2 linked regions of the Mus musculus genome follow. The protein of the gene in region 2 binds, or shares a complex with, the protein of the main gene of each other region. Links are inferred from orthologs where the notes say so. Each region holds a gene or a part of one and is shown on either strand. Other genes may lie near its edges.

What was found. The genes of interacting proteins can lie anywhere in the genome.
Region 1: the proteins of Kcnj8 (region 2) and Abcc9 are in contact, whole or in part, in a cryo-EM structure (PDB 7MIT), measured with the Rattus norvegicus proteins. The link is inferred for Mus musculus from reciprocal best matches to the Homo sapiens genes KCNJ8 and ABCC9. Residues at the interface, in NP_058795.3 of Rattus norvegicus: Met1, Leu2, Lys5, Ile7, Ile8, Pro9, Glu11, Tyr12, Val13, Leu14, Ala15, Arg16, Ile17, Ala19, Glu20, Asn21, Leu22, Leu45, Ala46, His47, Lys48, Asn49, Gly54, Arg55, Phe56, Leu57, Asp59, Ile60, Thr62, Thr63; in XP_038963045.1 of Rattus norvegicus: Phe5, Ile10, Tyr13, Asn14, Ile15, Val19, Asn22, Cys24, Phe25, Ala28, Leu29, Val32, Val35, Phe36, Phe39, Phe42, Pro43, Ile44, Phe46, Ile47, Gly48, Trp49, Gly50, Ser51, Lys55, Gln57, Ile58, Asn129, Phe130, Lys132.

What each region holds. Positions count from the first base shown.
Region 1 is NC_000072.6:142,699,463-142,703,487, reverse strand, and holds the start of Abcc9 (ATP-binding cassette sub-family C member 9), read left to right. Parts: upstream 1-1,213; 5' UTR 1,214-1,324; intron 1,325-1,584; 5' UTR 1,585-1,671; intron 1,672-1,928; exon of another isoform or gene 1,929-2,073; intron 2,074-4,025. UniProt on the Homo sapiens protein: Subunit of ATP-sensitive potassium channels (KATP). Can form cardiac and smooth muscle-type KATP channels with KCNJ11. KCNJ11 forms the channel pore while ABCC9 is required for activation and regulation.
Region 2 is NC_000072.6:142,568,782-142,572,984, reverse strand, and holds the start of Kcnj8 (ATP-sensitive inward rectifier potassium channel 8), read left to right. Parts: upstream 1-1,370; 5' UTR 1,371-1,801; intron 1,802-2,531; 5' UTR 2,532-2,605; coding exon 2,606-2,979; intron 2,980-4,203. UniProt on the Homo sapiens protein: Inward rectifier potassium channels are characterized by a greater tendency to allow potassium to flow into the cell rather than out of it.

The sequences.
Region 1 (4,025 bases), about 130 kb from region 2:
CTGGCCCTTGGGAATCTCGAGAGTTTATTCAAGAGTTACTGAGGCCAAAAATTACCCAGTGTGATCATGGCTCATATCTGTAATCGTAACAATCTAGAAGCTGAGCCAGGAGGATTACTGCGAGTTTGAGTCCAAGCCAGGGTGTCTAACCTTCACCCCCTCAAAAAAAATTTTTTTTTAATTTAAAATTCACCCCTTACCACCAGAGGAAAAGTTATTGTGGAGTGTCACATATACATGCATATCTATATCAAAAGCGGGTGTGTGTGTGTGTGTGTGTGTGTGTGTGTGTGTGTGTGTGTGTGTGTGTGTGTGTGTGTAGCTGGCTTCTAACCTGCTATGTGTCTGCTTCTTGCTTTGAACTCCCTGCATCTTTCCCCCAAATGATGGCATTTCAGAAGAACACCAACCACAGTCTGCCTTCAATAGATATTGTTTTAAGCAAGTTTTGTTATTTTAAGAGTTAATTATATCTGTTTGTGAAAGCGATGAAACAAATGAACAAATAAAAAATACTGTTGATGCTGAAACTTGAAATCAAACTCAAATTTTGGAGTGCTCAGACAAGTGCCATTGGTCCATTAGTCTGGACCAGCAGGCAAATTCCCCGGGTCACTGAAAGATTCTGCCCTGTGCCTGCCCATCCAAGTGAGACAAGCATGCCTGGTGGCAGTTTGTTTTGCCTAGAATGAACTATTCAGTTCTCAGTCCTGCTGGGGGCGAAGCTGGGCGAATGGATGGCACTTTTAAATCATTTTTTGGTGGCTAAAGCTAAGGCTGCCTGCAGAGCTGATACTTTCCATGTTTTCATATCTGATAAGCCTCCTCTTTGAGGGTCTGGGGGTCGGTTTTTGCAAGTTCCGCTTTCTGGTGGAGTCTTGGGGGATCCACATATGGCGTGAGTTTGGCACATCTTCACTGCGCTCACCCGTAGGAGCAGCTCCGGAGGAGTGGGGAGTGGTGTGGAGGGTCTGGGGGAGGGTGGTCCTGAATGGGAATGGCCGGAGTGATGGAGGGTCCCAGGTAGGGATGATCCGGGCAAGGAGGGTGGGGGTGAAGAGGGTCCTGGATGGGGAGGGTCCCCGCCTCAGGCGTCTGGGGTGCCTGCAGTTTCCTGCCAGGGCGCGGCAGTGTCCGCCCCAGGCCACAGCGCAGCGCAGCGGAGGAGAAACGCGATAGGAGGCAGCAGCTGGCCTCCCACCACCCTAAAAATAATCCACTCGCCGGCTGCTGACCCGGGAGGAAAACTTGTCGTCCCATGGAGTGCGTGAGCTCCTCGGCTTGCTACAGAGAGATCCCCAACCACTCTGAGGAGTCACTGGCTGTAAGCTGTTGATTTTGATCTAGTATTCCGTCAGTAAAGGCATTCGCTATTTCTAGGATTCAGGGGACTTGCTGGCGAGAAGGTGGGATCAGGTTTCCAAAGTTTGACTTACACAATCCTGCCGGCTGGAGCCGAAACCGGCTGGAAACAGGGAAAGATGTCACTGATATATATATAGAGAGAGACTTTGTTAGCCATTCCCCTTTACAATTCACGCAGCAGCTTTTTCTCTACTAAATTTGTTACTCTTTGCTCTTTAGGAGAAATTTACATCTTCAGACGGTGGGCAGGCTGTTGGTAGCTCAAGTGCACCAGTAGGGGGACTAAGCCCTGGAGCCAAAGCCAAGGTATATTTATTTATTTATTTATTTATTTATTTATTTATTTATTTATTGTTTGCTTGTTTGCTCCGCGTTGGTTACAGTGTCTAAAAACAATCTTATCTGCGCAGGGGTCCCCAGCATTGTCTTTCTTGTGTCACAGAACGTCATAGCCCCTGGAGGGTAAACGCATGGACTAAGACTCGATAATGGATCAAGTCCGTGGTCATTTTCTTGCTAGGAAATTTCCTACTTGGATCTGTATAGAACCAGCCAGACAGCTAGTTAGACAGCCAGACACATCTACGCATTTTGTGAGGTCTCCACTGAGCAAGTTCAGTGAAACGATTGCAGCATTTGCTTTGGCGGAGGGTGGACATCCTGGGCACGTCGTGGGTGGGTCGTCGCTGCCTTAGGTGCCTTTCAGAGGTGAGCTTCTCATTCAGGATGCTTTGCCTAAGCGCTCAGTAGCTCAGGGGTGAGTTGTTCCACATGCAAGAAGGAAAGCTATCCCGTGCATGTTTGCTTTAGATGTGTCCAGAGCCCGAGCTTGGCTGACACTGTCAATGGGGTCACAACTGACAGTCGCTGCCGGGTGAGCAGGGAGGTGGCTGCTTCTCACTCAGTCTTAAGTGGCTGGCAAAAGTAACTAGCGTTTAGTTCCTGATATCTTTTAATATCTTAGCAGTTTTTGGAATTACTTCAGTTAACCTTTGTTCCTCTGTAGAAGTATCAGAAGAGTTGATAGATACATTACTAGAGTTTTGAACGGATACCATGTTTTATGCATACCAGGGGCTGGGGAACGTCTCACAGTGCAGGGCCAGGGCCAAGCACGCTGCTGTTGCTATTCTCCGCAGGAAACAAGAGGACTCCTCTTCCCTCTGTGTTCTGTCCTGCAGGCTACCCCACAGCCAAAGTCTCACTTTTGATCTGTTTTGAAGTTGGCTCCTTCCAAGTCCCCATCCCCAACGACTCTTGTAAGCACTTGACCGCCTTCCAGAGGGATTATGCTCGTGGGGAGAAGATGGGCTGCTTTCCCCTATGGTCCCTTTCCTCCTTGTTGCTGTCACTTTCGTGCACAAACTGAGCCTAAACAGATACAGGGGGAGGGGCACCAGCAATGGATGGCAGGTGACAGTCTGACCCTCAAGAGCATCAGTGTATGGCCTTCCTCAAGTGCTTACAACAGCCTGAGCTCTGGAAGGGAACCACAGACCAGACGCTGTTTGGAAATTTAAGGATTTATTAGAAGGCTGGGGTATAGTTTGGTTTGTAGGGTGAATGCCTGACATCATGAGGATCTGGATTCAAATCCTAGAACAAGATGCACAGATGTTCACACACACACACACACACACACACACACACACACACACACACACCATCTTGATTCAATATCTTTGATGGACACAACACCTAATATAGTATCTGCAGTAAACTTCCTCTTTTCCTACTTTTGGCTGTTGATGTAGCTGGCTATTAGAACCTTCTTCCTGCACAGTGGCTTTAGAGAAAGGAATCTGAAGGTCAAGAGGGGTGAGTAGAAGAGATGTCAAAAGGAAACATGGACATCTGTGTAAGGAGCAGAGAGGGTGGGAAGCAGGGTAGGGCACAGAGGTCATAGCAGAGGGAACAAAATCTAGATGTTTTTGTGGAATGCTATCATAGAGCTAGGGACAGGACATGTCGTTCAGTGACAGAGCATTGGCCCAGCATGTTTGATGCCTTGGGTTTGGTCTCCTGCGCTGCGCTGCACTGTGCAGACAGACAGACAAATAAGCAAGTAAATGACTTAACGTCTCATTTTGTCATTTCCACTAAATGAGGGACTAGTCTTAAAAGCCTCATTGCTGGCTGTTATTTTTTGATTGGTTTTCCATCTTTATCAAAAATATTTACTAATGTATATATATGAACATATAGCTTCCATTTTGTCATTATTTAAAAAAAATTCAATTCTTTCTCCCATATGAGTTTTATGAAGTGGTAATGTTTTACCAAATCTATAGTCAAATCTTTTTAAACTATTTGTTTTAAAAATATAATTTTATAAAAAAAAGACCTCAACTAGAGAGCCTATAAGTGACTTAATAAAAAATGGGTTTATCAGACATAATCTGTGTAAGAGACTATATACAAACATTTGGGCTATAGCCATACAAGCTTTCCAACTAGTTACTTATATTATATTCAAGCAATGATTTCTACAACATTTGAGGGGAATTTGATTTTTCCAACAATTTATGTACTGTTCTCTGTGTCATATTATTTGTCTTGTTTTTAGGGAAAATATAATGTCCATGACTAAGTTAATTATCAACGAAAAGAAAAATAAGAAAGGTACTATTTGTTGATGTGATATTAACTTTTAATTAACC
Region 2 (4,203 bases):
ATAGTAAACTATCAGTCTGCCTGGGTTTCATAACAACTTCCTGTTTCAAAGGACAGCAATGAAATCACATAAGCACAGAGGAGTAGCCGTGTAGTTCAGTTGGTAGAGTGGTTGTCTATGCACAAGGTCTTAAACAAAACAAAACAAACCCCAGACATGATGGCACACACCTACGATCCCAGCACAAGGAAGATAGGCAGGAGGATTAGAAGTTCAGGGTCACCATAGGCTACACAGCAAGTTCGAGGCCAACTCAGAATATGTGAAACCCTGTCTTCTGAAAAAAAAAAAAAAAAGAGTTTAATGTTTTTGGTGTTAAATTAGTAGACAGTAAATTGCACAGCAAGGTGCACTTCAAACTGTATTTCAGTGGCAGAACTCACAGCACAAATGTTGTCTGCATGGCTGCTATGAGGCTACAACATGAATTACTGCAGAAAACAAAGGAAACAAAAAGAATCTCACTGACAGGACAGGCCCTCCAGAATGCAAGGGGTTAAGCAGATCTACCCACAGTGGAAAAAGGGAAGGGGGGCTCTTCATTTTCCTTCATTAAAGACTAATTTTAGGTCTTTCTAGTAAATTAACATGCTGTTTATACTTCGGATACTCCCGACCCTCAAGTCTTGGAAAACATAAAATTTCCAAGAATTAAAGTTTCCATTAATACAAACGCCAAAAGCAGGATGACCGGCGGGGGGGAAAAAAAGCACATTTGTTCCCCCACCCCCACCCCCGCTCCTTCTCAAAAGCTATAGAAAGACATTTACTGTATAATCTTTCTTGTGCGCAAGTGAGCAGTCTTATCATTCTTACGATCTAGACTGGAGGGAGAGGCCTGCGGCCAAGAGTCAAAACGGAGCCGCGACTGCGCCTGCCTGCCCCGAAGGCAGGTGTGGTGCTGGACTTTGCTTAGCCGTCCTGCTGGGTGTAAATTTTCTTTATTGGAAGAGACTGTTGATGGTGTTTTTGTTGTTAGTCTCTATCTTTGTTTCCCTTTTTGTTTCTTTTGTGTGACTTTAAGTGCCTGAAAACTGGTCTTAGTTGGTGAAATCGGTTTTTTTTCCGAAAGGATTTCAGCCCTCCCACCCCTCTATATTCTAACACGAATAGATTTACAAGTTCAGGGCAGGGACCCCACCCTCACCCCACGCTCACCCCACAATCACCCCACCCAAAACACCTACACTCTCTCTATCTGGTTTTATTTCATCTGAAGTAACCCAGTGATACCCCCCCCCCGCAAGTTACACTTTAAAAAATAATAAATTAAAATCTCTTTGCGTCAGTGAACTTGGGCTCAGAAAGTTCTCTGAGCAGCGAGCCTTTTAAAGATGTGTGTGCCGGTCTGGCAGCAGAATCCGGGCTACTGGGAACCGAGCTGGCTCGGCTGGTGCCTCCTCCCCCGGTGGTCCCTCCCTTCTGGCCGGCTCCCTGCCTCCCCGGCTCCCCCGACTGGCCTCCGCCTCCACTTTCCCCGGCTCGCTCGGAGGTCTGGCCCCAGCTAGGCGGCTGAGGAGCTGGCGGAGCATGGCCACTAGCACCTCTATCCCCAGCTCCTACCCCGCCCTCCCCGTGGCCCGGCAGCAGGAGGGGGGAAGCCAAACCCAACCCTCATCTTCCAGCCCTCCTCCCCGCGTGCACTATGGATCGCACCTTCTAGAGTCTTAACTCAGTTCTGGAGGACCAACATCCCCCGGATCTGCACTTCGGGAGGTCTCTGCTCCCGGGATGCGAGAGCCTGGGACCAGCCCGCCCTGTGCGGAGCTCAAGCCGCAGCCGGGAGCGCAAACCCGAGTCTGTAAGTTGCATCGCGCCTCCCGGGGAGAGGAGGGGAAGCCGGCTATAGCGCAGCCCAAAGCCAAACAGTCAAGGTGTACCCAGATTGGCTCGAGCTGTGCAAATCCACTGCAGACCTCAGCAGTGTCTCTAATCCCCGCGTCGCAAATTACTTTCCAGCATATAGTATGATATAGGTTCAGAGGGAGGGGCGGGGAGTCTGGCTGCCTTTTAAAACGCATCTCGTAAATCCTTCCAATTTAATATCAATCATTTTCAAGTTCGAAAACGCAATGTTTGGTATCTTTTAATTACAGTTAATATTTTCTTAATGAACAGGAAGCAGTTTTCTTCGCTGCTACTAAAAGAATCCCTCCATCTTTCCTTTTAACCTTGCTACTTTATCTAAATAGTTTAGCAAGTAGATAGTGAACCCACTTGGCCTTTAATTTTCGTCCTCAGGCTTGCCTGACTAATCCCGAGACACAAAAGAATATACAGAAAATGCTTAAAGATTTGCTTATAGCGGTTATTTCCAAGAGTGAGCAGGGAGGAGAGAGAGAGAGGGGGGGGGGGATTCCTCCGGTTCTGATCAAAAGTTTTCTCTGGGATCCCAGACCTCAGACACAAAGTGGGTTCTCTTTTGTATTGATCACATCTTTAATTTAATATGTGTGTAAAACAGCATCCCTTTGTACAGATACCTGAGACGAGGAAATGAAGTTGACAGTTTTTAATAAGCGTTTCTCTAGTCTAGGAGGACGCGTGTGGAGGAAAGGAGCCACAGGTTCAGGCAGGTGCATAGGCGGGCTATGGTGAAAGGAAGATGTTGGCCAGGAAGAGCATCATCCCGGAGGAGTATGTGCTGGCGCGCATCGCAGCGGAGAACCTGCGCAAACCGCGCATCCGCGACCGTCTCCCCAAAGCCCGCTTCATCGCCAAGAGCGGAGCCTGCAACCTGGCACACAAGAACATCCGAGAGCAAGGTCGCTTCCTGCAGGACATCTTCACCACCTTGGTAGACCTGAAGTGGCGTCACACGCTGGTCATCTTCACCATGTCCTTCCTCTGCAGCTGGCTGCTCTTCGCTATCATGTGGTGGCTGGTGGCCTTCGCCCACGGGGACATCTATGCTTACATGGAGAAAGGCACCATGGAGAAGAGTGGCCTGGAGTCCGCTGTCTGTGTGACCAATGTCAGGTAAGAATGAAATGGAGTTACCAGCAAAGTAGAAATAAAAAGCTCTTTCAGCTAGTCGATTGTGAAATAAAGGGTCTTCATTGGGCAGTTCAGAAACAAAAAGCAAATACAGGGTGCAGGGTTGAAGTTAGCACATTAAAGTCTTTGTAAATGTAGTTTTACCAACAGGTTTCTGAGAATGTGCGACTGCTTCTTTGTGCTGACCTTGGATGGGTTCAAAGAATTCCTGACTCCCCCCCCCCCAACAACAACAACAAACAACAACAACAAAAAAAAAAAACCACAGTTCGTTTTCACCACAAGGATGTCCAGTGTGCACCAGGAAATATTCCCAGTCCATCCAAAGCACTGTGCAAATACAAGAAATATTTTTTTTCTGTAAAGCAGTCTTAATTTTAAAATACACTAAAAATAAAATAACAGAAGTAAATAAAAGCCCTTCTTTATCAAGGTTATTTTGGCATCTCTGACAGATTTTTTTAGATTTAAAAAAATTAAAGCTTATTCTAAAATTTAGAAGAGAGAGTTGTAGTGAAAATTAGTCCAGATTTTCACAAACGGGGTTGAATAGACAGCAAGTGGATATTGAGGTCTCTTTCCAAAGCTTCCACAGAGCAGGAACAAGGCAGCTTTTAGGTTATCTAAATTTGACTTCTGCATTTAGGGATGCTTCAAAGTCAGCTAACACGCACTGGGGTTCCACGTCTCTCTTCTCTATTCCCAAGAGGCCCCAAACACTGCAATGGGGCAAACTTTTTAGTTTGTTTCTTTGGGTGGAGACATAATTGCTAAGGCAGAGAGACTGAGGGCGCTCCAGCCAGGCAGGAAAGGACTTCCAGCGGTCCTGGATCCTATAAAAGTAGCAGAGCATGGCATAGACACCCATAGCTGGGAGCAGAGCTCCTCATGATCTTACTTGCCCTTCCACTTGGCCAAGTAATTGCCAGGCCGACATGTCAAAGAGAGACATCACCTTAGACCACACACAGATTCCAGCTCAGATTTGTCATGAGAGCAATGTACTAGAAAGACCTGGGCTTTACCACTGGGCAGATAGGATTTTCTTTATTCAAGCTTTTGCCTCAACAACAATGAGAATAAGAACCCCAGGTGAGCAGACAACTAGGGACATGGAGAACAAAGTCCTCTCTGTGTTTAAATATTTCGGCTGTGTTTAAGAGATTTGATGCTGTAATGCTGAGTCTCTCTCATGGACTTACTGGC